Mus musculus: one gene and its partner. The protein of the gene in region 2 purifies or fractionates together with the protein of the main gene of each other region. This does not show direct contact. Links are inferred from orthologs where the notes say so. Each region holds a gene or a part of one and is shown on either strand. Other genes may lie near its edges.

Region 1 (16,167 bases), on a different chromosome or scaffold from region 2:
CAGTCAAGATTATATACTAAGACCCTGCCTTAAAAAAAAAAAAGAGTTAAAATAAATACATAACAAGTAAACAAAACAGAAATCACTGCAGGGGCATGAGAGAGGTCATGAGCAGCCTTTGGTGGCTGACGACGCTGGAATGATAGGGGCTAAACTAGCCTTAAAGACAGCTAGGTGAAAGGCAGAAGGACCAGGAACTGGGGCTGGGGAAGGAAGTGAGGAACCCAGACATGAGGATTCATGTGACATCCTGAAAGAGGAGCAGAAGAGAGAGCAAGGGGCCTCTTGGCCAATCTCAGATCCAGGAGGTCAGGGTCTTGTACAGTCAACATTTACTATGCAACTACTTTTGTGTCTGACCTATGCAAAGCAGGTAATATACACCAAGCATGGTCAAGTCTTCCCACACCTGTGGAGTTTGCCTTTTAGCTACAATAGTTGGATCAATAATAATACACACTCTCCATCTCTCCATCGTAGGAGAAAGTCGTAGTGTTACAGAAGAGTCGCAGTATACTGGGGAAGGGAACTGGGAAGTCTTCAAACAGGAAAAATGAGCAAGAAGAGGTTAAGGGACATAATGAATCAGCAGTATTAAACGTTGGTTTCTTCCAAACACCATCTTACCATCACACACACACATACACACACACACCTTCTGAAGAGGATGACTTAAGAAAGATGGGCAAGAGGAAGGAGGAGAGAGAGAGAGAGAGAGAGAGAGAGAGAGAGAGAGAGAGAGAGAGAGAGAGAAAGAAATTGGAATGCCCGGCTAGAGCTAAACTACTCTACATAAACATGTACAAAGGACATTCATAGGTAATGAGGATCAGAGGTTGACAGAGGCTGGATATGGAGGCAGGAGACAAGGTTATCCGCCATGAAATGGGATTTTTAAAGAGAGAGCTATTCAAAGGGGATTTTTGTAAGGTGTGCTCGCGCGCGCGTGTGTGTGTGTGTGTGTGTGTGTGTGTGTGTGTCTGTGTGTGTGTGTGTGTGTGTGTGTGTGTGTTTACATATGGCCACACGTTTGAGGTGAGTGCACATGTGTGGAAGCGCACGCGAAATGTGACCATGTATATGGAGACCAGATGTCAACTGTCTTGCTTGTCAATCATCCTCCACCTGTTATACTGACCTAGAGTTTCCTGTTTGAACCCAGAGCTCAGGAAATTGTCTAGTCTGGTCAGCCAACCTATTCTGGGGATCTCTTATTTTTGCCTCCATATATTCTTTGGTTGGTTTTGGTTTCAATATTTTGGGAGATTGTCTGGTTGGCTGAGAGGAGGACTCACTATGTGGCCATGACTACCCAGGAATTCACTTTGTAGACAGGGTGGCCTTGAACTCACAGATGGCCACCTACCTTTGCCTCCCAAGTGCTGGAATTGAAGGTGTGCTCCATCACATGAGACATATTAGGAAACAGGGCCCCTATTCGCTCAGCAGGTAAGAGGAAGAAGAAGGGAGAGCCTCGGGCAAGGCAGGGCTTGAAGGCTGACGGAAGAAAGAAGGATTGAAAAAGACCAAGTTCATTTTGCATGTAGGATCCCAAAGAGATTTTGTGCCCTGGTCCCAATGTTTATTTTAATAACTGTGTTCATCTCCTTCTGCTACTGTAATAAATTATGACAAGTGTAGTGGCTTAAAATAACACATTCAATTATTTTACCACTCCAGAGATCAAAGGTCAGTAAGTGGGCAGTGGTGGGTTTGTTCCTGCTGACAGTTGAAGGGGGGAATTCATTTCTTCATCTGGTCCAGCTTCCAGAGGCACCTGGGTTCCTTGGCACAAGGCCACACATCGCCCTAACCTGGGCTTCTGTCCTCACATCTCATCCTCTGGCTAGGGAACTGTGACCTCTCTTTCATAGGAACTCTTTGGAGGAATGGAGAGATGGTACAGCAGTTCAGAGCACTGGCTCTTAACTAAGTTCTAGAGGACTGTTTTAGTCGGGGTTTCTATTCCTGCACAAACATCAGTACCAAGAAGCAAGTTGGGGAGGAAAGGGTTTATTCAGCTTACAATTCCACACTGCTGTTTATCACCAAAGGAAGTCAGGACTGGAACTCAAGCAGGTTAGGAAGTAGGAGCTGATGCGGAAGGAAGGAAGGAAGGAAGGAAATCCAATTCTCAAAAGGATAAGGCAAGAGGATCTAGAATCAAAGACTCTGGGCTCCTTAATGAGATCTGTCAAAAGAGGAAAAAAAATGAAAGCAAACAACACAAATCTCTTTGATTACAAAGTCCCACCAAAAATATCTCCATTTCAAGCTCCTTTAACTCTATCTACAGCCCCTCACTCCAAGCACAGAGGAGTGGCACACCCACGAGTTCTGGGGGTTAAGAAAGGACATGTTTGGATGACTGCTGAACAAACATGATGACTTCAATTGACAAAGAGGTAACTAGACAAAGGAAATGGTGGGAACTCGAAAGCCAAGAGCAAAGCAGACCCCTGAGGACCAACCCTTGAGTGAGGTTTGTCTCCATGAACTTATGCCAGAGATATTTACAGAAAGCCAGCAAGGGATGGAAATTAATCCAGGCAAATGGTCTTTTAGATTTTTTTTTAATCTGAATTTGTATTATGTTGGTATGGCTGTTTTGTTAGCTTGAATGCCTGGGCACCACCTGCATGTCTGGTGCCCACAGAGGCCAGGAGATGGTGTCAGATCCTCTGGAACTGGAGTTACAGGTGTGCTGGGAATGAAACCCAAGGCCTCTGGAAAAGAAGTCAGTGCTGTTAACTGCTGAGCCATCTCTCCAGCCCCCTACCCCAAACTGAGATTATTTGAAGGTGCTCACCACCCACGTGTGTATCAATACAGGAATACGCTGACGCCCAGAGTCACACCAAGCAATCCACACGGACAAGACTAGATAGAGCAATGGCCCAAGGCTCACACCGCTGGCTTTCAAGAAGCGTGCTGTTCTCAACCTGTGAATCGCGACCCCTTTGGGAGTCCCCTATCAGGTAGTTACATTATGATTCATAATGGTAGCAAAATGACAGTTATAAGGTAGCAACAAAATCCTTTGGGGGTCACAACATGAGGAACTGCATTAAAGGGTCTTGGCGTTAGGAAGGTTGAAAACCATTGCTTCAGAGTTAAGGAAGTCGTGGAACCTTCTCGTAGTGAAAGCAGCAAACCCAATGGTCACTGCTACAGTAGCCAGGAGGCTCTTGTTTCGAAAAAGGATCCTGTTGGGGGCTGCATATGCTGGTACCCACATGGGGATGAGACAAACGACCACACTAAAGCCAACTTGGCCGTATGCGTTTAAATCTTACCACCAGGGGGAGCACAAGAGCCAACTGGGACCCCTTGAGTTGAACTGGGGTTTTTTCCAGAAACAGGATCCCACCCACACCCTACCCCCACCCCACCCCCAGGGAAGGCAGAATAAGTTTTCCCAGTCCCAACTCTATAAAAGCCTGGAAGGTCTGGCTGCCGCCATGTGATCGCTGACTCAAGGGCTTACCCACATTTTCCTCTTCTAGTTAAAGCAAACCACATTTTTTCCATTCCTCCCTTTTCCTGGTTGCCTGCAGCATGAAGCTTTTGTAACAAACACACTTTGGCCCAGAACATCACTACACCATAGAAGACCAGAGTCCCAAGACAGGAGGTAACCCTTCCAAATAAACCACAGAGTAGGGACCAAGACCCTCAACTCCAGGTTCAGGGCTTTTGTCGTATAAGGGAACATCTTTGTGTGGGCCTGGGATCTCCGGCAGGAGGATTTCCACTTTAAGACAACACTGAGACTCTTTTAAAATAAGCAAACAAGTGAAAAATAATTTTTTTAAAAGAAAGGAATCCAGCCAGGCAGTGGTGGCGCACGCCTTTAATCCCAGCACTTGGGAGGCAGAGGCAGGCAGATTTCTGAGTTCGAGGTCAGCCTGGTCTACAGAGTGAGTTCCAGGACAGCCAGGACTACACAGAGAAACCCTGTCTCAAAAACAAAAACAAAAACAAAAATGGGGGGTGGGACCCATGAGGGGGCTGGAAAGATGGGTCAGAGGTTAAGAGCACCAACTGCTCTTCCCAAGGTCCTGAGTTTAATCCCCAGCAACCACATGGTGGCTCACAACCATCCATAATGAGATCTGACGCCCTTTTCTGGAGTGTCTGAAGACAGCTATAGTGTATTTACATATAATGAATAAATAAATCTTTTTAAAAAAAGGAATCCATGATTCTATGTAATGGGGTCTTAGGCTGTTTCTTGGAGATCAACCATAATAGTGATGGCAGTGGGCTGGGGGAGAGTCTCTTCAGCAGTCACCGCTATCCAGAGCAGGTTCTGATGTGGACACAAATGTTTACTGAACCCCACTCTCCCATGGTGGGGGAGGGAGTACAAGGAGATAAAACCTTTTCTTTAGAACTGTTCTCTTGCCAGGCGTGGTGGCACATGCCTTTAGTCCCAGCACTAGGGAGGCAGAGGCAGGCGGATTTCTGAGTTCGAGGCCAGCCTGGTCTACAGAGTGAGTTCCAGGACAGCCAGGGCTACACAGAGAAACCCTGTCTCGAAAAAACAAACAAACAAACAAAAATAGAACTGTTCTCTTAAGATGGATGGACTCCCACCAGAACAGTACAAGGAGACCTTATTTTCTCCCTATCCCAGCTCTGCCTCCTTCCTTGTCCTCTGCCCTCGCTCCCCCACAGCCAGTAGCTTCCCTGGCACAGACAGTTGCCATGTCTTTGTGTTTCTAGGCCCTCACACACAGCTCCTCCTGGATGGCCACTCTCTGCTCCGCTGATGCCTCCTGACTTCCAAAGTCATAGATAGCGCCTGCGTGGGGCCTAGCTCAGATTGACTCGGGGATGTCCACAGAATTGCCTGTTAGGGTCTCTCGAACCCCTATCCGTGGATAAAGGTGCCTTCATGGCACTACACTCAACAAGAATAACGTGGTAAAACTAAGAAAATTTAGAAGAAGCGAAAGAAGCTCTTAGAGATTCGGCTTCTGCTCAGACTCTCCCTCTGGCTCCCACATGACTCCTCGGCAGACTTTTAGGTCCCATTGCCGCTCCTACCTTCCCATAGGTCCCAAACTGGTCACACCCCCTAACGGAGCTCCATTTTTCATTTTACCTAACCGCACCTCCTCAAATGCATTCGGATTTTCTGTCCAGTGCCCCAAGGTTTTACACCAGGGAGTGGAGATACAAACAAGGGTCCCTAACCGCACAGCACTTGCAGGCTGCCCTCTTGTCCCGTGCCCACACACAGTCAAGGGGTTCACCTGACACTCCCGGGGTTCACCTTCACTCTCAGAGGACAAGGTCCTCACCAGCTCTCTCCAGAAGACCACGGGAGCCCCAGCTCTGCCAGGCTTCCCTGATTGTAACACTTACTTTGTGAGAGCTCTCAAGAGACCCCTAAGTTGACCACACACACCCTCCAAGTCTCCTGCCTGCGTCCTTCTTCCAACTCCTAAGCTGCTTCAGGGAAGACAGAATGTGTTGCTTTCGACTCCTGTTCCCCAGTGAAGAACCTTTCTAAACTAAACTGTGGGAAAAAAAAAAAAAAGGTTTTTAACTGGGTCTATTAATGAATCAGTCTACTTACTGATAAATAGTGAAGCCAGTCTACTGATAAACAGTAAAACAAGAGCTGTGCTATGCTAACAGAGCTGGGTTTGCTATGTGAAAAAGTTTCTTGTTTTTATTTTTTGTTTTTGGGGACCGGGTCTCCTGTGGCGTTGGCCTCCAACGTACTTTAACCCAGGAAAAAAAATTTTAACTCACATTCTTTTTGCTTTCTGATATTTTCTGATGTTTCTGTAATAAGTACGGTTTGCTTTTGCAATGAAGAATGCTAAGGAAACTTCCTGCAGGGGTGAGGAAGAGAAAACTGTAAAGGATATTGAGAAGGGCCTCTTCACCCTGTTGAAAAAATCAAGAAAGAATTTAGAGAGTCACAGAGCAGGACGTGGTGGCCTGAACCGCTCTGGCAGGAGGACTGGAGTTGAAGATAGCCTGAGCTACATAAGCAAATTCCGGGTCAGTAGGTCTACAAACGGCTAAATCCTACTTCAAAAGAAATGAAATCGCTGGGCGTATTGGCACATCCCAGCAGAGGCAGACAGATCTTTATGAGTTCAAGGCCAGCCTGGTTTACACAGGGCGTTCCAAGCCAGATAGGACAGCATAGTAAGACTCTGTCTCAAAATAATAATAGATTTAAATAAAAAAAATAATAAAGCACAATAGAATTTTCACAAGGAGGCAGGGCGGCCAGCATACACCCCTGCAGGCATGGAGGCGCAGCAGAGTAGGGGTGTGGCATCAGGTGTGGCAGGGAATGAACGGAGTAAATACAGGATGAAGAAGGGTTTCAACTCAAGTCTCTGAACGTAGAAAGTTTCTGAGCAAAGTAGAACTGCTCAGATTAGCACCTAGAACATTCTAGCGGCCACCGTGCTCAACTAAGTGCGTTCAGTCCAGAAAGGTTTACAAGGAGGTGTCAGAGAGAACGCAAGCCAGGCAAATAGGGGCTCGCAGACTTGCCTCGGGAATCTGAAAAGGTTCTTAAGATTACATGGCCCTTGGGGGTCTTCCAACGTGAGCTCTTATGCAGAGCCCAGGATGAACTAGGATGAACGGGAAAGGCGAGGCCGGCACTTAACTCCCCGTAAAAGAAGTCGGGTACGGAGGTCCGGAAAGACCCCGAGACGGTGGGAAGAAGGAAGATGGAGGGAAAGAGGATCTTAGAAACCAGACGGCAAAAGTTAGGTGCAGAGAGAGCTCTGCACTGAGGGTGAAACCGAAGTCCCAGAACCTGGGTCTGGGGAGGGGATTAGAGCATGGGCGGGGCAGGTGGGCCGGGGGGCGGGGTCGGCATCCCTCCGCACATGCGCATAGCAGCTGGCCGAGCGCCGTAAGGAGTGGCACTTTTTAAAAGTGGAGCCTCAGGCCAGCCCCTAGCCGCAGCGTGTCTCAGTCGGTTGTCGAGTCCCTTCTGTCCCAGTCGTTCGTGCCTCTTGTCCCACGCAACTCCAGCTTGTACCATGCCGGTCAAAGGAGGTAGCAAGTGCATCAAATACCTGCTCTTCGGATTTAACTTCATCTTCTGGGTGAGTGAGAGGCGACTGTCGGCGCGCTCCTCTCCGAGGCCACCTGTTCTCAGGCCCGAGACGGCGTCCGGGGCGGAGAGTGTCCCGGCGGCCGAGAGCGCCGGGAGCCGCTGGTACTGCGCGCGCCAGGCGGACTCCGGGCGAGTAGAGAAAGGCGCAGCGGCTGCCAGCTGGCCAGGCGGGACTGGCAGGTGGGCGGGAGGAGCAAGTGGGTGGGAGAGCCGAGGGTCCTGGTGGCTCCGGCTGTGCACTTCGCTCCCGGGTCCTTCTACCGCCGAGTATTTGAGATGGGCTCTGTGCCTGCTCCCACCCGGAGCACCCCCGAGTGTGAGAGAGGAGTGAGGGAGGAGCGGAGCAACCTTTTCGAGTAACTCGATGCCCTCCCCGGCCCGCAAGGCTCCTTGCCAGCAGGGCAGTCGAGCGTCTCCCACTTCGGTGGTCCCACAAGTGACAAGGGGTGCTACGGAGGGAGAGGAAGTGGGTGTGGGGAGTCTTCCCTGCACCTGGAGGTCGGACATTCCTTGTTTAGGACCTGAACTCTCAACTGAAAACGTCCATGCCTCTCTCTAAGCTACCTGAAAGACTAGATTGTCTTGATTCTTTTTCAAGAGCGATAACTATCTTGGCTGTAGAGAACTCTGGGAGAGTTAAGAGAAAAGAAGGCGGGGAAGGTGCCTATTGGCGCCTCTAGATGGGATAAATCCGGTGTTTCTGCATTTCCCAGGTAATCAGGTACTGCGGGCTTGAAGCCTCGCTCTAAAAATGTCCAGGTGGGGCCAAGGGGAATGGCCGTTCACCTGCAGAGGGTCCAGAGGCAGGTGCTAGTAGACTCTACAGATGGGCCTCTGGGTAGGGCAACAAGAGAGTGTCCACTCTCCCAAAACTCAGGGACAGAAGCAAGGAAATACACGGAAGACCCTTTTGTCCTGATTCTGAGAGGGCACACTCCCAAACACAAATGGACGGAATTTGCTCCCAGGCAATCAGGAAAGAGCTTAACTAGGCAACTCCTGTGCCACCAGAGACTTTGAACAACAACAACTAAAAAGTCCACTATTCCCTTTGGAGCTGGCCACCGGGATGCTCACCATCTTCCAGCAACTGTAAGGTTTAATACTCTCCAGGGTTGCTTGGAAGTGTTGCACAACCTGCAGAGACTGCCCTGGGTTTCTAGGAGCCACCACACCCATACAACTTAAGAGGATGTCAGAGGACATTCCCTGCTTGTGTTTCCCCAGTTCTGCAGACAGGCAGCCAGCTCCCAGGCTTGGCTTGGTCCACTCATCAGCTTGAGCGCTTTGTTACAAAACAAAGTCTGAAGGCAGCTGGCCCCACCCAACCCCGCCCTGTCCTTTGGGGAGTTTTCCTCCCTCTACCTTTTAGTCTCTTCCCTGCTAGTCTGTCGGTCAGTCCCCAGACGCCTGCATAGATGGTGTGAAAGTTTGGTGCTAAGGGGAAACCACATAGTTGCCTACATCTCCCATCTGCCCCCCATGGCATATGTATGTAAGGGGCTGAGAGGAGGTGCCCATGGCCACCCTATGTCTTCTCATTCTGTTGCCTGCTGGCCTACAGTCTGCCCATCTTGTCTCCTGCTGCCACTTCCGCTCCTATCCAGAACCCTGACAAGTTGCTGCTGGCTGACTCTGCCTCCTGAAGCAGGACAGTCTCACTCTAGAAGGGTTTGACTTTGGGGTTGGGAACTGCATTGGAGATTATGCACCAGCTGGAGGTGCTAGCTCTCGTGTCCACCGTGAGGAACCAGGGTGCCCAAGATCGCAAGCCGAGTTAGTACTGTAACCTCTGGGCCCCTTGTTTGCTCTCTTTACTCTCCTGTCTCTTACCATTAGGGAGGTGGGCGGTTTACTATGTTAATTATTGTTACCTGCCCTACCCTGGGCTCTAATAGGGACAGTCCTGTTACAATCTCTGTGCTAAGTATTTTACAGTCTCCAAAGGCCTCCCCAAGCTCCATGATATAACCAGAGAAAGAAACATTATTCCCATTTTGACCAGAAATCTTGCCCATGATAGGTTAAGTGCTAAAGGCAGGGTCAAGTGATAGGGTATTATCAAGTGAGGTAGTTAGTATTGGGCAGGAGCAAAGGAAGGCTGAGAGGAAACTCCTCAAAATATCTTTTACTACAGGCGGTGATCTCTCTCGGGGGAACCCTTGGGATCATTATGATGTCACCTCTTCAATCTCTTGAGACCAGTGATTTATGAACTTGACATTTGGTGCCTGGTGTGGGCTTTGGAAAGCAGAGGCCACCTTTGTCTGTAGAGGATACTGAGCGGCTGGATGGCAGGAATCCAAAGAGAAGCCAGCCTCTCGTAGTCGCCCTGGGACAGTGGAAGAGAGGGAGGACCGGCAAAGGGGAATCTGTCTTTCTCCTAGGCCCGAGCATGTCCCCTGTGGGACATGCTCTGTGACAGCTGAGCCTGCCCAGCCTGCCTTTCTGAAGTTGGGTGTCTCCTGCCCACAACCAAGCCAGCAATCGGTCTGTTTTCCGACAACCTCAGAGCCAGACCTCACAAGCCTATTTTGGTGGTTCCCAAATTTCTCTCAGATCTCCATGTCTATCCCTCCACTCCCTCCAAAAGAGAAAGAAAAGAATTGAGAAAGAAAACATCTTCCTAATGTCTGAATGGCAGGTGATTAGAAGTGTTTCAGGCTATAATGTGGTGGCCAGCCTTGAGCCGGGCCTGGAATGTGCCTCTCCCATTCGTTGTTTGTTTGTTTGTTTGTTGAAGGCTTTGTTATACAGCCAACTGGCCTTGATCCTGTTGCCTCTGTCTGGCCTTTCCCCATCCCGCACACCCATTCCCCCAGATCCCACATAGCGAAGTCTTTTATGGTTTTTAGCCTCGGCAAAGGAAAGCCCAGATTGAGAGAGCCAGCCAGATCCTGCTTCCATGCACTCTGACCCTCTGTTTCTGCTCCTTCCCCATCCGGAAGGATGGAAGTAACAGAGGGATCTCCTCCACCTCCAGAGATGACATCACCTTCACGGAAGCAGCTTGGAAATGTAGGCAGAGAGCTGACCCAGGCTTCAGAGCCTGGCGGAGGGCGGATTACTTGGGAACCACAGGCAGCTCACTTTCCTGATCCGCACCGAAGTTTCCTCATCACAAAACCCATGACTTGACGCAAAAGGTCTCAAAGGTCCATTCAAGATCAGCCTATAGAACGAGCCCCGGCCACCACACACCATTGCCCCACCTCTCCTCTGGTTAATAAGACTTCCCGGCAAGCCACGTAACAGAGGTGTAGGAGTCTGGAAATCACGGTGGATAGTGAGACTTGTTCCCTGGCTTTTACCTGCGAGTATAAACCTGTTTCTTGGATCTTCCCTGTTCCTTTTACCTTCCCTCACTCTTGGCGGGGGGGGGGGGGGGGGTCTCCTTTTCTTCTGGTTCTTTGGTAAGTGCTCCATTGCCTTGGCCTTTTTTTTTTTTAATATTTATTTATTATATGTAAGTACACTGTAGCTGTCTTCAGACACTCCAGAAGAGGGCGTCAGATCTCCTTAAGGATGGTTGTGAGCCACCATGTGGTTGCTGGGATTTGAACTCAGGACCTTTGGAAGAGCAGTTGGTGGTGCTCTTAACCACTGAGCCATCTCTCCAGCCCCGCCTTGGCCTTTTATGGTCATAGATTGTAATGGTCAGTGTACAGCCCTGGATTCAGCATCTTCAGCCCCTGGGCAGGTTAGCTGCATCTCCCTGTAGCTCTATTGCTTCACTAGTAGAAAGTGATTTGAGGTCTTTGGAGAGGGTGGGAGCAATTCCCAGGTAAGTATGGATGCTTAAACCACAGATTAGGCCACACTCCTCCTACTCAGTGTGGCCGGACTATGTGGCTGTGTGTGCCGTGTAGCCTTACGGCTTTTCCACATCTCCCTGCCATACGAGCCGACGTAGGAGAGCTGGCCTCACTCTTCAAAGCAGAACCACTGCCTCCATTTTGTACACATCTGACTCAGGGAGGAAGGTACACCTACTCCTGAGAAATGAAGCTGAAGAGACTCTAGAGTGTTCCAAGGCATCCGGGTTCGAGTCGGGGCAGGTTGTGGAGGGGTAGGTGGCTGGAACAGGAGCCCCTCCCCACCCAGATTGCTCCTTGCAGAAGTTGTTTGACTTGGATGTTGGGTTGAACTGTGGCATAAAATGGCTTCCCACAGAGCCGCCTGTGCTGGAGCGACACTGCCCTGCTTGTACTGGAGCTGGCTGGCAGGTTGGGGAGAGGGTGAGCCGAGGCCAAGTGTCTGCCCAGCTATGGAAAATAGGAACTGGCCCCTGCCTAGAGCTTTGGTTTCTCCCCCACCCCCAGCCATAGTTACCAGTAACCAAGATCTGGAATCCCAATCTCTGGGTGGTGGTGAGAACTGGGTTCATGTGAGCACACTCACACTCTCTTACACACCACACACACACACTCTTCACAGACACTGCCCCTGTTTTCAGATTGCCGGTGGCAACATTCCAGACCTTGCTATTGCTCCCAAGACGCCTTTGCTGCCCGCTGCTGGTTGCTGGTTACTGGTTACTTCCCAAATTTGGACAGGCTTTGATAAGCAGCCGTAGAGGAGTGGATCTGGGGTGGCCGGTCAGTGCTCTCTTTCCTAAGTGAGCCTTTCCTGGCTCCTGCCTGCCCTTCTTTGGGTGGTGTTTTGGGCATGAACCTTTCATCTTAACACATAGGCCTGTGTGTTCTGGGGTGGTTCCGCCTAGTTTTGGGTTCAGTTCAGTTTTTATAAGGAGCTGTGGCCTCTGAAATGGGTCACACAGTTTGGGACCTAAAAATACCTTGGGTTTACAAGAAACATGTTTTCTTTGGTAGCACGCACAGAGGTAGATGGATTTGCCTGGGTGTTTTCTTATTTCTGGCTTGGGACAGACAGGAGTGGAGGCTCCGATCTCAGGGTTCTGGTGGCTTTGCAGTGCTGGTGCCGTCTTGTGTGTTCTGGGTAAACCCTTGTGGCATTGAGAAAAGAGATCACACTGTGATTTCTGAGTTCCTCCCTGTTCTGGTTGGGTGAGAGGGACTTTAATAGGACCTGTCAACTTTTTTATTCTTTTGGTTTTTGGAGCTGGGGATTGAAGCCAAATCCTTGTGCATGGAAGGCAAGCATTCTGCCCTTGAGCTGTACCCCCATCCCACCCCCTGCCCCAGCCCTCAAAGGGTTGGGTTTTGCTTTCCAGTCAAAGTCTTGCAGAAATGGGTTTTACTTCTTAAATACAGAAGAGGGGGAGGGGGGGAAACCTCCTCATTTCAGAGGCTGTAAATCTCCCTGACACCGAACTGTCAGGTGAAGTATATTTCAACTAAAGAAGTTTTGGTTTTTAAGTTAGCCTTAGTAACTTTTTGTATGTTGTGTTTTCGAAGTCTGACTGCATGACACCCGGCTGCTCCATTCTGTAAAAGAGTCAGGCTGGTCCAGGGACATTTTTATTTTCCACCAAGTGGTGGCATGCAGCTGTGGAAAGCAATATCCTGTCCCCAGATGAGACAATTTTATAAAAATTATATCCATCCGGGTAATTTTCTACCCCATCCACCCAAGAAAATACTTAGTTATAGATTCATGTGGGGAGGGGTGCTTGTCTGTTGGGGTTTTTTGTTGTTGTTATTGTTTTGGGTTTTGTGGAGTTTTTTCTATTATTATTATTTGTTTGGTTTGTTTTTTGAGACAGGGTTTCTCTATGTAGTCCAGTCTGGCCTCAGAGATAGACCCTCCTGCTTCTGCCTCTGCCTCGGCCTCCCAAATGCTGGGATTTAAAAAGGCATGGGCCCCCAACATGCCCAGCTAAGTTTTAAGTATTGTGGGTATATTGTTACCTTGTTAGGGAAGCCCATGAAATTAGTAGGACTTCGTTTCGGGGGTGGGGGGGTGGGGGATGGTGGGGAACGTTATACATGATTTGGTTTTGTTGTTGTTCTGGGGCCCGTGAACTTCAGGAACGGCCCCATATTGATTTGTTTCCCTTGGTTTCCAGGTAACCTCTGGTTTGTCCTGAATCCCATGTTTCTGACATGAGTGATTTCCTGGAATTGAATGGGGGAATAATAGAAGGTTTTAAAAAGTACTGTTAGAAATCCTAAATTGCCAGGCGTGATGGTGCACGCCTTTAATCCCAGCACTGTGGAGGCAGAGGCAGGCAGATTTCTGAGTTCAAGGCCAGCCCGGTCTACAAAGTGAGTTCCAGGACAGCCAAGGTTACACAGAGAAACCCTGTCTCGAGAAAAAAAAAAAAAAAAAGAAAGAAAGAAATCCTAAGTTTAGCTGGGTATAGGGACGTGTGACTTTAATCCTAGCATTCCAGAGGCAGAGGCAGGTGGATCTCATGGTCTATAGAGTGAGTTTCAAGGACAGCCAAGGTTACTTATGGATACCCTGTCTCAAAAACAGAGATAATTTAAGAAAGAAAATTACTGAAATAACCAAGGTAATGCCATCTGACACACACACACACACACACACACACACACACACACACACACTCTAGTCACATCTATCTTAGCAAAACATTTGAAATTTCCATGACCTTGACAATGGTCCATATGTCTAAAATAACCATTGTGTTCTGCCAAGAATGACCATTTCAAGGTTACTCTGACCATTCTCTATTATCTGTGTGGGTTTTACCTTTAAAAACATTGTACCCCTGAGCTTGGGCACCGAGAGATTCTTTAGAGGCTCAAGCCCGCTCTTGGTCTGGTCATCAATAGAAAAAACTAAAAACTTTTAATTGGCTTAATCAGCATTGACATTAGTCTATGTCTCGCAGGTTATTACAAAAAGAAAACAACACAAAAGAAACTAGCCTAGATTCAAGACTGGTGCTGTGGGAACTGGAGAGATGGCTCCGTGACTAAGAGCACTTGCTGCTCTTACAGGGGACTCAAGTTAGGTTTCCGGCAACCACGCGGTGTCTCATAACCACCTATAACTCAAGTTCCCAGGGATCCCATGCCTCCTTCTGATCTCCAAAGGCATCATGTTGTAGGCAAAACAGTCTTACACATAAAATAAATCTTAAAGACTGGGGTTGTTGCCAGGCGTGGTGGCGCACGCCTTTAATCCCAGCACTCCGGAGGCAGAAGCAGGCGGATTTCTGAGTTTGAGGCCAGCCTGGTCTACAAAGTGATTTCCAGGATAGCCAGGGCTATACAGAGAAACCCTGTCTCCCTCCCCAAAAAAAGACTGGGGTTGTAGATGCAGGAGGCCCTGGCTCCAGTCCCCAATCTCAGAAAGAAGAGGGGAGCAGCGGAACCCTGAGCTCCCATGATGACTTGGGGCAGCCCACGCTGCAGAGCCACCTCCCCACCCACCCTCACTGACTCTGCAGTTAATCCTTGCTGAAAGAGTTTCTAGACACTGGCTTAATTTAACTGGTGCTCTGTACTTCTAGACCACACGAGGAACCCAGCATCATAAGCTTCCAATTGGTGATTCCTCTTCCCACCCCACAAGTGTAGAAGGCCCAGCTCAGCCTTATCTCTTCTCTCCTTTGGGGGTCTTTGAGAAGGGGCAGGGGTAGGGTTTGGGTCTCCAGAGAGGTAAAGAGCCACCTGGTTAAGTGACAGAAACAGCCAGAATAGTCTAACTTGGAAATGGCCCATGTTAATTGCATTCCAAAGAAGGTTCTGTGGGTTTGGGAACTGTTCACTAGAAGTATCACCAACTCTGGCTGTTAAGTCCTTGCCCAGTGAGTACAAGGGGCACTGTGTAGATGGACAGTGGTGGCCTTCACATCTGACCCAACGCCCATCGGGGGTCCTGTGAACACACCTCACATGGGCAGGTCAGTGGCTGGCTCCCACTGACTTCCCACCTCCTCTTAGCATCAGAAGACAGCCCCTGTTCACTCACACCTTGCCTCCGTTTGAGCTGCCAGTACATGGGGATCAGAAACAACACAGCCCCTGTGTGGCTCACTGGAGCTCTCCTAGGCTTAGGCTAAAAATACCAGAAAGTCAATTGAACCATTCTCTTAAAGTCAGACGGATTCCTGCAGTATTCTAATCTTTATCCCTTTTCCACGTACCGTGAGTCTATAGTATATTTAGTATATGTATAGTATATATGTAGTATGTATGTATGTGTATGTATACACACACACACACACACACATATATACATATACACATACACACACACAAACACACCTTTCCAGTGGATTTATTAAAACTAAATGAAGATAGGCAAAGCCGCGAATAGTTGTGAGCTCACCATGGCTTTTCCCGTGGGTGGAAATTTAGGTATCGGGGTGCATGTCCCAAGGGTGAGAGCATTGGCAGAGTGCCAGTTTGCACATACATCACATGTTCACACCCCAGTTCTGATGGGTGTTTTCAGGCTGGGGAACCCCCACTGCCTAACCCTAAAGAGGAATGTCCACCCCAGAAATGGCCCCTCCCCACTAAGGCGGCCCCTTCAAGGTATGAATACCTTTCTGAAACCTCAGGTGTCAGTCTATGACCAGCAATGCCCTCAAATGTGTGGTGTTGGGTTGGGTTTGAGACAAGGTTGAACTGTATGGCCCAGGCTGACTCAGAATGCTCTGTGTAGACCACACTGGGCCTCACACTCTTAATAATCCTCCTGCCTCCCAAGTGCTGGGATTGTGGATATCTCCTCACCTGTCAGCACTCAAATGTTAAACCTCCTTTTACCAGCCCGGGACAGGCTTCCACACAGCACTCCGCTAATCAAATCATTACCCTGGGTCTAAGGCACATAACCTTTTAGTGACCCAGAAAACTCGTTGCCAAGTAGAAATTAGATTAATGTCCAGTGCTGGGCTTGGAGAGCCCTCAGTCCTTTGTAACAGGAAGCTGACCTCAAGTTCATGCCACAGTGACCTCTAGGATCCCATGGAGTGTCGCTGCAGGGCAGGAGCAGAGGCTCCAGGTTGTGTCTCAGAACCCAGTTTTCCAAGAGATAAGAAGAATAGCAGCCCTGACCAGTGGTGGAGGACAACTGCGGCTAAGGGAGAGCTAAGCAGAGAGGAGGCGTGGAGTCACTCAGGACTCTGGAAAGCAGAGCTTGCGTGGAGTGGAACAAGG
Region 2 (15,532 bases):
AAGGTTTTTTGTTTAATTTGTTTGTTTGTTTTTGAGACAGGGTCTCAATATTGTGTAGCCTTGGTTGGCCTGGAACTCACAATGATCCTCCTGCCTCAGCATCCAGAGTGCTGAAATTTAAAGGTATACACCAGTATGCCCAGCTAAAGGGTTTTTTAGACAGGGTTTCTTTGTGTAACCACCCTAGCTGGCCTGGACTTTGCTTTGTAGACCAGGCTGGCCTCAAAGTCACAGAGATTCACCTGCCTCTGCCTCCATAGCACTGGGGCTAAAGGTGTGTGCCACCATGCCCAACAGGTTTTACATTTTAAATGTTAGAATTTAATATTAAATTGTGTATATGCATGTGTGTGCTGTGTGGGGATATGTGTATATTAGTGCAGACTCCCCTGGAGGTAAGGAGAGGTTGTCTGATCACCTGGAGGAAGCATTACAGGCTCTAAAATTAATGTATTAGCATCTTGTAAATTGTGATATTATTGATACATAAATCTGATTGGTTAATTAAGAATCTTGATTCTACTGGGGTATTGTGTATTGTGATGTGATGGCTGACCATGGGGTGCGTAGTAGCAAAAGGAACTTGGTGGGGGGGGTCCGGGGTGGGCACCAGAGAGATGACCCTGCGGGAGCCCTGTGGTCCAGCATGGCCAGAGACTTGGCTTCTCAGAGAGTTGACAGGTTCATTTTTAAATATTTCCCGCAACAGTAACACACAACTTTAATACCACCACTTGGGAGGCAGAGGCAGGCAGATCTCTGTGAGTTTGAGGCCAGCCTGGTCTACAAATTAAGTTCTAAGCCATCCAGGGATACATTGTGAGGCCCTGTCACGGAGGAGGAGGAGGAGGAGGAGGAGGAAGAAGAAGAAGAAGAAGAAGAAGAAGAAGAAGAAGAAGAACAACAACAACAACAACAACAACAACAACAAGAACAACAAGAACAAGAACAAGAAGAACAAGAACAAGAAGAACAAGAAGAAGAACAAGAAGAACAAGAAGAAGAACAAGAAGAACAAGAACAAGAAGAACAAGAACAAGAAGAACAAGAAGAAGAAGAAGAAGAAGGAGGAGGAGGAGGAGGAGGAGGACAACGACGACAAGGGAGAGGAGGAGGGAGAAGAAGAGGAGGAGGGAAGGGAGGATGAGGGAAAGCAGGAGGAAGAGGACGGGGGAAGAGGAGGAGGTCTGTAACATGACTACATTTCCAGTGTCCAGCCCTTTCCCCACCCTTCTTTGTCCCATTCACTTACTTTAGGAAATGCATCCCTGAGTCCTTCACCAGCCTTCCATAAACCCTGCTTTGTGTATCTCCTATGTGTTTTCACTTATATCCATTTCACAACAAATCATTAGGAATCTGTCATATTTCTTCTTCCAACTTAGAACATCCCCGACCTCCCCCCCCCCATCTCAGAATTTCCTGAATCTCACTTGGACTGGGATAATTTCAAAAAATCTGACGATGAGAGAATATTCCCTATCCATAACTTTAATTTTTTGTCGTATGTTTATCCCCAGGTGCTTTACGCTCTTTCAGCCGTACATACGCGCATTGTTCTTGTTCATGATTTATTGATTGGCTTGGTTTTGTGAGACAGCCTTGCTATGTAGCCCAGGCTATCCTTGAGCTCACTAAGTTGCCCGGGCCAACCTCCAACTTGAATCAATGCTTCTGTACCAGCTTCCAGAACACAGCACTCCAGCACGGCCAGCCCTTCTTAATTTTTATTTATTTACTTATTTTATTTTATTTGGGGGGGGGGGTGTTGAGACAGGATCTTTCTATGTAGTCCTGGTTGTCCTGGGACTCACTATGGAGACCAGGCCAGCCTTTAATTCACAGAGATCCACCTGCCTCAGTTTCCCAAGTGCTGGGATTAAAGTATGTGCTACCATGTCCTCTCCCCTACCTTTAAAATTGTTTGTTTGTTGTTTATTTTGTGTGTGTGTGTGTGTGTGTGTGTGTACATCTATGTGTAGGTCCCCTGTGTGCCCTTTTGGAAGCCAGAGGTCAATGTTGGATGTCTTTCTTCTATCATTCATTCTCTACCTTTTTAAAAGATGTGATATCTCTCAATGAACTAGTAGCTATTTTGTCTAAATTGGCCATCAAGTCCCCAGCATCTCCCTGCCTTCACTGACCTACAGCTGAAGTTACACACATGGGCCAACACACCCAGCTTTTAACTGGGTGCTAGGGTACTGAAGATCGGAATTCAGGTTTTCATGCGTGTTGAGAAAGGCCTTTGCCTGCTGAGCCATCTTCCCAGCCCCTCGCTTTTAGTTTTGAGGCAGAATATCAGTAAGTTGTCCGGGTTGGCCTTGAATTCACTATAACCTAGGCAGCCCTGTGACTTAATGATTCTCTTATTCTGTCTCCCAAGAAACTAAGGTGGCAGGCCTCCAGCAGCAGGACCAGCATCATTGTCCTCTTAGAGATGCTCTGTGCGGTGTGGCCTGGCCTGAGGCTGCTGCACACCTACTCACCCATGTGGTCTTGTTCTCCATGTTGATGGTAGGGATGCTGGTTCTCAGGAACAGGGTAGCCCAGCCATCTACCCTGACTCTGTCAAAGTCTTTGTAGTCCTACCAAGAAGACAGAGGGGTCACAACTAGCAGCTGAAGTCTCTCTTGGCCTCCCTCTTTGACTCTACACTCTCTACCCTCTTCAGTGCCCCACCAGACAACACCCTCAAAGGATCTGTTATCCAACCTCCCCTGCACATGCTAATGCCTGCCATTCACTCCTCTGCCATCCTGGGCCCTGTGCCGATGCCAAGACAGCAGAGACAGGGAAAGTAATGGTCTAGGTCAGGCTCCTGGACTAAATCTATCCAGCACCTGTTTCTGGTAGAGAGCCACGCCCCTTCATTTAACTAAGGTGACTTTTGTGGTCCAGTGTTGGAAACTGAGTAGATATGACAGAAACCAATCAGAAGGACTGATAGTCTAGTATTAAGAAAAGGTTAGACTAGGTAGCAAGAGAAGGCTGGTGTAAGGGTAACCATAACCTATCCCAGCAGGACAGGAGACCCAGGTAACTTCCAGGAAAGACGTGTTATTCAGAGGAGAGAACTCCAGCTGCTGAAGTTAGCTAGGATCTCAGAAGTGAAGGTTGCTGGAGACCTTGGTGACTGAATAGGGAATTCACGCACAGAGACAGAAAAGAAAACAAAACAACAAAAAAGCTGGCATTCCAGTGGGCAGGGAGCACCAGGGGCAAAGGCATAGAGATAAAATGTAAAGGACATATAAAAGGTTATTTTGGAAGTATTACACATTCACACACATACACGCAACCATAACACTGATGTGGTCACAGTAACAGACACACAACTGTGCAGAACATGATACCATTTTACACACACACACACACACACACACACACACACACACACACACACCATGGCTTCAATCCCTCCCTGTCATTCTCCTCACCCAAGTGGATAACAGTAAAGACCTCCAAACCCAGCACTTACCTCAATGAAGGTGCTGTTCCACACCCGTGCTTTCACGGTCACATTGGTAATGTTGGAGGTGTCTGGAAGGGGGCACTCCAGCCACACACAGCGGGCACGGCCATTGGAGCAGGTCTGAGGTGGACAGGAGGACAGACGGGGGACAGCCTGAATCTCTAGACGTGGTGCTGGCTCCTTACCTTCTACCCTCCTAGATTTCATCCCAGCCTGGAGTGACATGGGGTCTGGTCGTTGTTTTTCTCGTTCTCATTTTTCTACTTCACGAACATACATGCAAGATGGACTCTCGGACCAAGCTCATCTGACTCAGGGAACACAAGCGTGAAGCATAGCCCTGCTCAGGCTGGCAAGGTGCAGCCTCAGAAACCTCTTCCAAGCCAAGCACATTGAGCGTTGTCTATTGTCTTGGGATACCCCTGCAACCTCTCTAGCCAGTTAGGCTTCCCCTGGGTCCCCATATTTTCTTCTCAACCTCTTCCTGCATAGACCACTCTGCTCTACATATCCTCCCCACACCAAATGCCCAAGCTACACCCAACAGGGTGTGAGGCCTCAGAATCTGCCAGCGCTTCCTCTTTGGGTCCATTGTGTTGGATGTGCTCTAGGGTAGGAGGTAAGTCTGTTTTTCTGTCAGGAGGCTCTTGAGGCCCAGGTCTACAGCACCTCTCTAACTGATGTCTCTGTGTGAGTGGCTTCTATCACCCTTGCTTGTCGGCCCCTGATGCCCATGGGCCTTGTGTCAGGCTGAGCAGTCCTCCCCGCCTCTGCCCTGGCCACTCACCAACACAGTCTCAGACTTGGCTTTTTTGGCAGCAGCTAGTGTGACAGGCGGGGAACTCTGGTCTCCCCCTGGATCCAGTTGCCGCCGGCGGCGCTGTGGCGACAGTGGTGTGACTCCAGGGTCCTGAAGAGGGCAGAGATATGTTGGGAAGGCAGAGAGTGATAGAATAGCTGATAGGAGGGCTGGGGAGATGGCTCAGCGGTTAAGAGCACTGACTGCTCTTCCAGAGGTCCTGAATTCAATTCCCAGCAACCACATGGTGGCTCACAACCATCTGTAACGGGATCTGATGCCCTCTTCTGGTGTGTCTGAAGACAGCTACAGTGTACTCAAATAAATAAATAAAAATAAATAAATCTAAAAAAACATAGCTGATAGGAGATAGGAAAGGAACAGGGAGAAGCCAGGCTCCCAAAGGCCACCAAGGCAGCAGGGGAAGACACTGGCCTTTCTGCCCTCCGGCATGCAAATGAGACACACATGGAGCATTCCTGATAATGGACTTACAGAGAGAGTAAGGTTGAGAGGGTTGACAAGGTTTCCAGACGGCTGGCAGGGCCAGGAACCATTGCTATGGATGGTGATCTCCGTGGGGTACAGCAGCCACTTGCCATTGGTAACTTCATAGGGCCACTCCAGACCTAGAACCAGTGTGCCCAAGGCTGCCAGCCCATCTCCCACTGGGCTCACCTGTGGGCACACATGACCCGTGTGTCATGGTTACCATCCTTTGGAAAACCACCCACAACTCAACAACCCTAAACCCTTCACTTCTGAACCCCAGACTCCTTACGGTCTCCCCTCTGTCTTTCAGAAGAGTGGACATCCTGGATCCCAGAGGTGCCCTTACCTGGAATTCATATTTCAGGGGACTTCCCACATCCTCCGCAGTTTTCATGGCAGCCTCACCCATCACTGTGCCACCAAAGAAGCTCTGCAACCGATGATTCATTCTGGATAAGAAGACACCAGAGTCAAAGAGGACAGGAGGCTAGAGCCCTGCCAGAGGGGACTGCAGTGTGGATGCGGGTTGCCTACATTGCCCTTGGCACATACGACCCAGTTCTACTGTGGCCCAGCTGTGCGGCCTCACACAGACTACCCATCCTTCCTGAGCCTCAGGTTCCTCGCCTACGAGGTGGGGTTAGTAATAGTTGGTGCAGTATGGGGCAGTGATGCAAAAATCACTAAGAGTCTTTGACATCTTTGCACAGTGGGCTTTTAAGAAGGTGGGAGAGGGGCTGAAGAGATAGCCCAGGGGCTAAGGAAGGACACTTGTTGCTCTTCCAGAGAACTGAGGTTCAGTTTTCGGCACCATCTATAACTCCAGTTTCAGGGGACCTGACTGACACCCTCTTCTGACCTTCATGGGCACCAGGAATGCACATGGTGCAGAGACATACATGCAGTCAAAATACTCCATATATATGAAATATAATAAATCAGAGAAAAAAATTTTAAGCTGGGGGTGGCTGGGGAGGTGGCTCAGGGGGCAAAGCACTCGCTATGTAAGAGTGAGGGTCTGAGTTTAAATTCCCCCTCCCCCCCGCAGAACCCACTTAAAAGCTGAGTGTGGTAGCACACATCTGTAATCCAAGTGCTCCTTATATGAGGTGGGCAGGGGATCCCTAAGACAGAAGGATCCCTAAGGAAGCCCATGGGCCAGCTAGCCTGCATATGCATGCTTGTGAATGCAATGGCCACAGCAGAAAAACCCCCTGCCCCGCACAAGGTGTAGGTGAGATGCAATACCTCATACTGTCCTCTGACCTCCATATGTGTTTCATAGATGCACACATCTGCATTCTCACACATGCATGTGCTAACACACATCATACATACACATACACAAAGGTAAATATCAAGAAAATAAAGTGGAGCCAGGCGTGGTGGCACACACCTTTAATCCCAGCACTCGGGAGGCAGAGGCAGTTAGATTTCTGAGTTCGAGGTCAGCCTGGTCTACAAAGTGAGTTCCAGGATAGCCAGGGCTACACAGAGATACCCTGTCTTGAAAAACCAAAAAAAAGGGGCTGGCGAGATGGCTCAGTGGGTAAGAGCACCCGACTGCTCTTCCAAAGGTCCAGAGTTCAAATCCCAGTAACCACATGGTGGCTCACAACCATCCGTAACAAGAACTGACTCCCTCTTCTGGTGTGTCTGAAGACAGCTACAGTGTACTTAATATAATAATAAATAAATCTTTAAAAAAAAAAAAAAAAAAAAAAAGTGGAAAATTTAAAGAAAAGGGCAGAGACCATCACCTTAGCCCCAAGTGCTAATCCTGCCCCTCCTACCTGTGCTACATACAAGGAATACTAATGCAGCCATCATAGCAACCATGGCTATCAAGAAATGATGACCCAGGAGGGCCCGAGACCAAGAGAAGTGTCAGGGGAGTTTAGGAGGCTCCTTGAGGGTAGGGAAGCCCTGGCTCGGGCACAAAGGACTGGGAACAGAGCGGTACCCACAAGCTGAGCGAGGCCTGGAGGGTGTAGTCCACCTGCAAAGTCAGGAGTACGGGCTGCAAGTTGTCCTGGTGACTCGACCTGAGAAGAAAATGCAGCTGGTGAGCAGGAGACTCAGGATGTGAGCTCAATCCTGACCGGACTCCCTTCACTGGGTCACTCACGTGGACAGCTGAAGAAGTACTGGGAGGTCCCTCGTGTGCAACGTTACCCCGATGACCTCAAAGGCAATGAGCAGCTCCATCTAGCACCAGGGTCAGGGAAACAGAAAGGAGCGTTGAAAGCAGCAGGGGGCTATGGCATGGGGAAGATCCAGGCAAGGGGATCTCCATCCCTCCTCCTTATCCATCTCTGCCTCCTATCTCAGTGATAAGATCACTGGACATCGTTGCAGCTTTGGGAATCTCTGCCACTTTTGCGAAACCTTAAGCAAGCTACTGAGACTTTCTAAACCTGCATTTCCTATTCCGTGAAATATAGCTATTGTGTTAAGGTAAGTTAGGATGGTACATCAGATAAAAGACACAATGCTATCTATAGGGCGAGCATCAGGGCTCCTTGCTTGTGTCTTCCTTAGAATCATGCATAGATCCCTAGTGGCTCCATACTTTAGTCTCTGGGCCTCTTCTCACCCCCTGTTGTGCCTTCCCCTCCTCCACTCTGGTTCTTTGCTTCAAGAAATCCCATGAATTGGGCAGGTAAGATGGCTAGAAGCTCGCCAAGAGAGAAGGATGTGGCCAGGTCTCACCCTCTGGTTCCGTTTGAAGGGGTTTCCTAGCTCACACAGGATGGTCTCGTTATTAGCTTGGCAGGTCCCAGACTGAGGAAAGAAAGCAAATAAGGTCAGGGTTACACTGTCTTTCATCTACTAGGGAGCACAATTAGAAGCCCTGAAGGCTTGTCTACCGAGTAGCAGAGGTACCCCAGTTCCGAAAAAGGTCAGCACACCACAGCAAACGATAATTTAAATAAATGTCATATACAGTGGGGTGCAAATAGCCTGCCACTCACCGGGCGCACGGAGGACAGTAGCAGGGCGGATGGCACCTCTAGGGTGAGCAATGCCTCATGCGCATCTTCCCCAGCCCGTTGGCTGCTCGGTGAATTGGTCACATTGATGCTCAAAAACAGTTTCTTAGTGTCTCTGCTGTACTGGAGCCTGAAGAGAGAAGTCTGGGACTAAGCCAAAAGCCTCACTTCCACTAGGCTCCGCCCCTCGGGCTTCCAGTGCTAGGAAAGCCATTGGGGGCCAACCAAATCATACCGGGCAGTCTTAACCCTGGCTAATTAAAGCACCTCTGCTCACATCCCCCTACCCCTGCTTGCCCCAGTTCTGTCAGCCAGTGAGGCCCCGCCTAGCCCTTAACCAATCAGGGTCACCCAAATACCACCTGCTTAGAGGCTGCAGCTGCTCAGACAGGAAGGCTGCTCGCATCTGCAGGTTGCTGTCGCACTTGTTGTCTGGCCCGCACTCTTTCTGGAAGTGGACCTGGGGACAGTGGAAGGCTTGAGGAGGCTGTGACCCACACATCACCTTCTGACCCTGCAGCCCTCCTGGCCCAGAGAGGGCCTGCTCACCTCAGTGTGATTCTCCATAGCCTGTGCCTGGTTGAGGACTGGGTAGGCATCCAGAGACCGCAAGCCGAGCTTGAGGCGATCAGGCATGCGCAGAGGTAAGGAGTAGTTCATGGCAATGACGATAGGACGGAGTTTATCGCGAACATTGTCCTGGGGAAGAGGGTGCCGGGAACACAGTCCCCAAGCTAAATCCTCCCATCTCGTTAAACCCTAGCCAGACTAAGACCCAGGGGGGGTGGGGGGGCTGGGCTTCTTTCTACCCTAATCCCCTAAATAAGCTAAAACCCCATTAATTCAATCACCAGTCCTGCTATCCTGCGCTGCCCTGCCTCGCTGGGATGGGGCTCCCCTTTACTGTTTGGATCTCCCCGTCTACTTCCGCCTAACACCATGATGCCCCAAAGAGGAACTGAGCTTGTCCCGAATCAGGGTCCCATTCTTTCCAGACTGGGCCAGAGCCGACACCTCTTTTCCAAGACGATAAGCCCCTCGGCCCCATCTCTACGTCTGGACTTACCTCCCTCCTAACATGGGTGACCTGATGTGTTCGGCCACCATCGGCAGATCCATATTTGCCAGACTGACCTCCCCAAACTCTGGGGATGCCCCTATCTGTGAGCTTTGACTTAGAGGATCACTGGCCACCTCTCCCAGTGATCTCAGGGCCCCCATCCTCCCCCACAGCCCCTCTCTCACCATCAGCAGTAACTCCAGTGTCTGGCAATGTGTCTCTGGCATGGAGAAGAAGCCGTGGAAGACAGATGACTGGCTGCGGGCAAATCGGAGCCTGGGTGGGCGTCGGTCCCTGTCAGCCTCCAGTGTGTAAGCCAGGGCTGTGGACAGAGAGGGCAGTCAGCAGGTGGCCAGGTGAGCGCGGGATCGCGCCCATGAGCGCACACCCCATCTCTTTCCCACCTGAGCACACTGTGCCCAACACTTACTGATGTTCCGCCTGTAGTTGGGGTTCCCAGCGCTCTGGTTGTAGGCAAAACACAGCTCCACCTGAACACTGTTGTGGGTGGGGGACAAGAACGCATAGCAGGGCCTGGTCACAGTGGGAAGGATGGACACGTCCTGCTCTTCACTCCTGTGCTAGGCAAAGAACTCAGGACTCTTGTGGGGGGAAAAGGGGGGTCTACAAAGCTGCAGTGACTTCTCAGGACTTCTAGAGGTCACCAGTGGGGAACCTGAGGTCCAGGGAGCAGCAGGGTTTGTGTGATGTTATCAGGTGGCTGATGACCCAGTCTGGGTCTTGGGATCTCCAGATCTTACTTTTGTCTCCGATCCCCTGATTTTCAGCTCTACCTGCCCCCACCCCTTTTGCTACCAGACAGATATACACAAAAAAAGGCACTAGGGTCACTACTGATAGATCGCTCTATTAGCAACTGGGTTTTGTTTGTTTTTGTGTTTGTGTTTGTGTTTGTTTTTGGTTTTAGTTTTTAGTTTTTTCAAGACAGGGTTTCTCTATGTAGCCCTGGCTGTCCTGGAACTCACTCTGTAGACCAGGCTGGCTCCGAACTCGGAAATTCGCCTGCCTCTGCCTCCCGAGTGCTGGGATTAAAGGCGTGCACCACCACACCTGGCTGTTTTGTTTTTTTACAATTAAGGTATAGACTACTGTGCTTAGGATTTTTTTTTTAATAGCATCTCATTTAACCATCACAAGAGCCCTGTTAATTGGTTATAACCTTTTATACATTATCTGGAACTCAGACTAATAATTTGCCCCGGGGTGAATCTCCCTCCCCACGTCCATCCACCAAGAGCATTCCTCCCCCCTTCCTTCCATCCCTCAGTCTTCGGAGTTCCCCCTGCTCTCCCCTGGCAGTGAGTGGCTGCGCTTTGAGCCCGATGGCCCAGAGCTCCTGTTCCTAAGCTCATGCTCAGGCACTAGCTCCCACAAGGAACTTTGACTTTAAATGAGACTGGATAGGGAAGATGTTGCTGAGCCTAAAATGCAGCGGCTGATGGGACATCAGGCGTGTCCAGGGAAGGGCTTAGGGCCTGAGGCCTACGGAGGGGGTAGGAAGAGCTGGGCTGACAGTCTTACCAGGAGGTAGCTGTACAAAGCGCAGGGTCCAACACAGCTGGCCTGGCCACCAAGGTCCTATGGAGGATATTGATGACAGGCCGGGCCCTATAGTAACAAGAAAGCAGACAGACATCAGTATTTCCTGCCTACCCCAGGGCAGGGCTGGGGTTCAGGTTTCTGTGGATCACTGTGGAAGGTAGGCAGATGAGGGCGGAGGAGGGACATGACCCTGCCCAGTCTCTGAGCTCACCGCAGCAGCACGATGTGGTCCGACAGGCTCCCTACTAGCAGGTCTGGGTAAAGGTTTTCATCCACATCCATCTTCCCGCTCAGGGAGTAGCCGAAGGTGGCCAAGCCTGGCAGTCCGAGTTTCTCTCCATGGATTATCTGAAGCAGAGAGGAAGCGGTAGGGACAGGTTCTGAGACCTGCCTGGTGGGGGGGGGGTATCCGACTTGTCCCCACCCATTCATACCTGCTGGGGCTGCCTGAGGAGCCCCCCGGAGCTGCTGTGGTAGATGTAGACTTTGCCCAAGCCCTCAAATGGGGCTCCCACAGCGATGTCTGGGGAGGAGAGACAGGGCAGAGTCACCAGGCATACAGGGCCCCACAGCTCTTTCACTCTCTGCGGCAGGCCACTGAGCCCAGTGTGGCAGTGTTGCAGCGGTGACCTCACCCTGGCAGAAGTGTTCGGAGCAGCCAAGAAGGAATCTCAGCACTCCAGGGCTCTGGTGGCAATGGAGGCTCAGGAAAGAGGAAGAAACTTCCTCAAAGTCACACAGCAAGTGAGGGCCGCAGACAGAGGCCACATCCCCCAGTATAACCCAGGGTTCCCACTTTCCGTATCCCTACCCCCAACAGCCACCCACCTCTCTGGATATATTGGTTCTCCTAAATAACATTTACTCTCAGGACCAGAAAAGAAGCCGTTCCCCGTTGATAACCACCAACACAGCAATCACAGCATCCATTTCGTTTAACCCTTACGAGAATGTGAGTGTGTGTTGTGTGTGTGTGTGTGTGTGTGTGTGTGTGTGTGTGTGTATGTGTGTGAGTGTGTGTGTGGTGTGTGTGTGTGTGTGTGGTGTGTGTGTGTGTGTGTGTGTGTGGTGTGTGAGTGTGTGAGTGTATGTGAGTGTGTGTGTGTGTGGTGTGTGTGTGTATGTGTGTGAGTGTGTGTGTATGTGTGTGTGTGAGTGTGTGTGGATGTGTGTGGTGTGTGTGTGGTGTGTGTGTGTGGTGTGTGTGTGAGTGTATGTGAGTGTGTGTGTGTGGTGTGTGTGTGTATGTGTGTGAGTGTGTGTGTATGTGTGTGTGTGGTGTGTGTGTGTGTGGATGTGTGTGGATGTGTGTGGTGTGTGTGTGAGTGTATGTGAGTGTGTGTGTGTGGTGTGTGTATGTGTGTGTGTGGTATGTGTATGTGTGTGTATGTGATTGTGTATGTGCATGTGTGTGTATGTGAGTGTGTGTGAGTGTGTATGTGTGTGAGTGTGTGTGTGATGTGTGTGTGTATGTGTCTGAGTGTGTGAGTGTGTGTATGTGAGTGTGAGAATGTGTATGTGTGTGTGTGTTTGTGTGTGTGTGTGTGTGTGTGTGTGTGTGTGTGTGTTGCTATCATGTACTATTATTTACTCCCTTTATAGATGAGCAGACTCAAATCCCAAGGTCACACAGCCAGGAAACTGGATTATACATACAACACTACAATGGATTTTGCTTCAGTATAATGGAACTTCCCATGTCAAGACTTTTAAGATGCTAAGCAATGCCTCGTCAAATAAACTCAACACGTTCAATGATCTCAGCCTTTGCCTGACTCATCCGCTATGTTTGATCCCAGGCTGGGGTGACTGAAGAGGATGCCAAGGACAGTGAGTGAGCAGACCCTAGGCTGAAAAAACCTGACCCGTCTGTGGGAAGGGCTTGGGCCTGTGGGCTGACCCCTCTGGCATCCATGTCTGCTTTTCTTCCTTTGGCTCTCGGCTGTGTGGTGGGAACTGAGATTGTCAGAGGACTGACTTTTGGTAAGCTAAGTGCTTCCACAGTAATTGCACTCATATCATAATGCGTCCTCCCTGTGACTTCTCCCTGGGTCTGATTGTATTGTCCCTGGGTCCCACAGAACACTGGCAAAGGAATGGCACTATGCCTAGGACTCCCTCGTTGTGCCAGCCCTTTCTTATCACCTGATATGGTACATTTTGACCTTCCTCATGAGGTTTCTAACCTGCTTCCACCCCATACCACCCCACCCCCAGAATCACCCTCCAAAGCAACAAGCTATATCTCCCATCTTACTCTCGCTATGACCCAAACAGAAAGCCCCGTTTCCTCTGCCTGGCTCTCAGAGCATTCACCAGCTTGTCCCCAGTGTACGCTTCGGTAGTGTACATGACATTGCTCCTGTGTTCATGTTGCATGCTATGCCGACCGCTCTTTTGTGCACTCTCAACCCAACCCACTTATCACCCTCTATACATCCTCTCTGTTACGACTTTGAGCTGCGAGTCCTGTCAAGCTATGCAGCTGGTGCTCAGTCAGCGAGGGTTCTGAAGGAGGGATACTGGCTCCTACCCTGGAATCCATCCTGGTTGATGTCACCGATGCTGGCTATAGAGATGCCAAAGGCAGAGCGGCTGGGGCCGTGAAGCAGGAGGGAAGGTTGATCAGGGAAGGATGCGCCCGCCTGGTTCATGAAGACATAGACGGCACCCCCTACCTCCTCTTTCCGTTCGAAGTAGTAGGGAGCACCCACCAGGAGGTCCTGCCACCTGCACAGGGGAAGAGTGGGAATGGAAGTGTGAAGTTGGCCCCTGATAGACATTGAGAACGGCATCTAATGAGCATGATTTTGCCAAGGGCCATGCAATTAAGCAAACGGCAGGTCCTACCATGGTTCATGAGAAGGCCAGCACAACCCACCAAACAGAAAACACATGTCACAGAAAAATCACACAGGCAAAGATCACCCCCCCAAAAAAAAACACCCCTACCCCATTGGGCACCTTATGAATGACAGACAAGCAAGCACAGGTGTCATGCAAATGACATGCAAATATCCAGACTCATGCAAATGACATGCAAATGTCCAGACTTCCAAAAGGTGCAATTGAGACCTTGAAAACCGTGAACCGCAAAAAATGTGTGAACGGAAAAAGCTTCTACTTCTCTGATCTAGCTTGAGCAAGCCTGCTACCCACCACCTTTCCCCCTGGCCCCAGAGGATGCCCCATGTCCCTGGATTCTCACCCATCATTGTTCAGGTCTGCCAGGGCAATGGCACTGCCAAAATAAGCGCCCACCTGCGTGCCCTTCAGCACCTGCTTCCTCTGCAGGTCTCCACCTGACTCTTGCTTCAGCAAGAAGACAGCGCCCATATGTTGGTGCCGTGGGGCACCCGTCACAACAGTGATGATGTCCGTGGGATGTAGGATGGCGTTGCCTACCTGCACCGTGTACCCTGGGATGGGGGGGGGGGGAGTGTTCAATCAAAGCCCCAGTAAATCTATCCCCTTCAATACTGAACCTATCCTCATTGTCCACCCTCTATTATTTTTCTATTCCTCTAGGCCAAGTCGAGTAACAGATCCAGTCCTTGCACACTGGGTTTTGAGCTTCCTGATGGAACTTTGCGTCCGAAAGCTTAAACCATGTGCAGAGTCTCGCATGCAGGCGGTGCTCAATAAGTGTGTGCTAATTGAACAAAATGCCTCAGGTCACATCTGCACTGTACTTGCACCTCACAGCACACACCAGGGGTAAAAGGGCCAGTGTGTTAGGGATCAAGGTGGCTCCTCCCATTCTTCAGTAGGCCACCAGCACGGGGCTTACCAATATAAAGGTTTCCTTGCTCCTCTGAGCCCCTGTAGCTATATTCAGATAAATCCCAGTCCTTCCGCTGAATCATGTAGCTGTTTCCTGCAGAAAGATTGGGGAAGGAGAGTAGCAAGAACCAGTCACAACCTTTTCTTCTACCAAGCCCACCTCCCCACAACAACAACAACAACAACAACAACATGTGTGAGCACTGTGCTGATAAATCACTTCCTCATTTTTTTGTTGTTGTTTATTTTGTTTTGTTTTGTTTTGTCTTGATCTCCAAGACAAGGTTTCTCTTGGTAGTTCTGGCTGGCTTGGAACTCACTCTATAGACCAGGCTGGCCTTGAATTCTCAGAGATCTGTGAGCCTCTGCCTCCTGAATGCTGGGACTAAAGGTGTGTGCCACCATTGCCTGGCTGCTAAATCCCTTCCTCTTTGAGAATGTTTTTTGATGTAGGGGGTGGGTAGGTGGGATGGGGCTGGAGAGATGGCTCAGTGGACAAGAACACTGACTGCTGCTCTTCTAGGAGACCCAGGTTTGAGTCCCAACACCAACTGTAGCTCACAGTGGTCTGTAACTCCAGTTCCAGGGAATCGGACAGGCCCTGAGCTCATGCCCCTCAGGCCCCAGCCTTCCAGCTGTTGGCTGGTTTATGTGATTATAGGTATGGGTGTTTTGCCTACATGTGTATCTGTGCACCACCTGCATACAGTGCTTGCAGAGGCCAGAAGTGGGCGTTGGGTTCCCTTGGAGTTAGAGTTATAGACAGTTTTGAGCCACCTTGTGGGTGCTAAGCCATCTATCTCTCCAGCTCTTTAAGCAAGTATCTTGAGAGAATGAAGTATTCTGTAACCTGAAAAGGATGGTCCTGTAAGTATTGACCATGACACTGCTTTTAGCCTATGATGTACGAAAAGAGAATGCGGGAGGCCAGAACATTTCACTTGATCTCTTTGCTTTTAAGAAGATATTTATAAACACTAAAATAACGGGCTGGAGAGATGGCTCAATAGTTAAGAGCACAGGCCGCTATTCCAGAGGACCCAGGTTCTGTTCCCAACACCCACATGGCAGCTCACAACTGTCTGTAATTCCAGTTTCAGGGGATCTGACACCTTCCCACAGACACACACCCCAGCAAAACACCAATGCACAAGTGAAGTAAGTGTGAAAGGAGTCCTAAGACACTGTGAATGTTGGAAAAGGCATGAGGGAGGTGGAAGGACAGGAGGAGCTTTTTTTTTCTCTCTCTCTCTTTAATTTGAGGTACTGAAGGTTGAATTTTTTTTTTTTTTTTTAATCTTGAAACAGGGTCTTGCTAAGTAACCCACGCTGGACCTGAACTCACTGCACATCCCAGGCAGGATTAT

Evidence for each region.
Region 1: the proteins of Itga3 (region 2) and Cd9 purify together in Homo sapiens (affinity purification with western blotting; 3 studies listed by BioGRID and IntAct, with this or other methods). This does not show direct contact. The link is inferred for Mus musculus from reciprocal best matches to the Homo sapiens genes ITGA3 and CD9.

Annotation. Positions count from the first base shown.
Region 1 is NC_000072.6:125,485,501-125,501,667, reverse strand, and holds the start of Cd9 (CD9 antigen), read left to right. Parts: upstream 1-6,907; 5' UTR 6,908-7,028; coding exon 7,029-7,094; intron 7,095-8,182; exon of another isoform or gene 8,183-13,118; intron 13,119-16,167. UniProt on the Homo sapiens protein: Integral membrane protein associated with integrins, which regulates different processes, such as sperm-egg fusion, platelet activation and aggregation, and cell adhesion.
Region 2 is NC_000077.6:95,048,963-95,064,494, forward strand, and holds part of Itga3 (integrin alpha-3 isoform 1 preproprotein), read right to left. Parts: intron 14,260-15,532; coding exon 14,173-14,259; intron 13,802-14,172; coding exon 13,591-13,801; intron 13,113-13,590; coding exon 12,916-13,112; intron 10,906-12,915; coding exon 10,817-10,905; intron 10,731-10,816; coding exon 10,594-10,730; intron 10,449-10,593; coding exon 10,362-10,448; intron 9,318-10,361; coding exon 9,250-9,317; intron 9,142-9,249; coding exon 9,005-9,141; intron 8,459-9,004; coding exon 8,309-8,458; intron 8,220-8,308; coding exon 8,122-8,219; intron 7,890-8,121; coding exon 7,742-7,889; intron 7,551-7,741; coding exon 7,479-7,550; intron 6,975-7,478; coding exon 6,895-6,974; intron 6,812-6,894; coding exon 6,734-6,811; intron 5,216-6,733; coding exon 5,113-5,215; intron 4,953-5,112; coding exon 4,770-4,952; intron 4,386-4,769; coding exon 4,263-4,385; intron 3,596-4,262; coding exon 3,482-3,595; intron 2,589-3,481; coding exon 2,490-2,588; intron 1-2,489.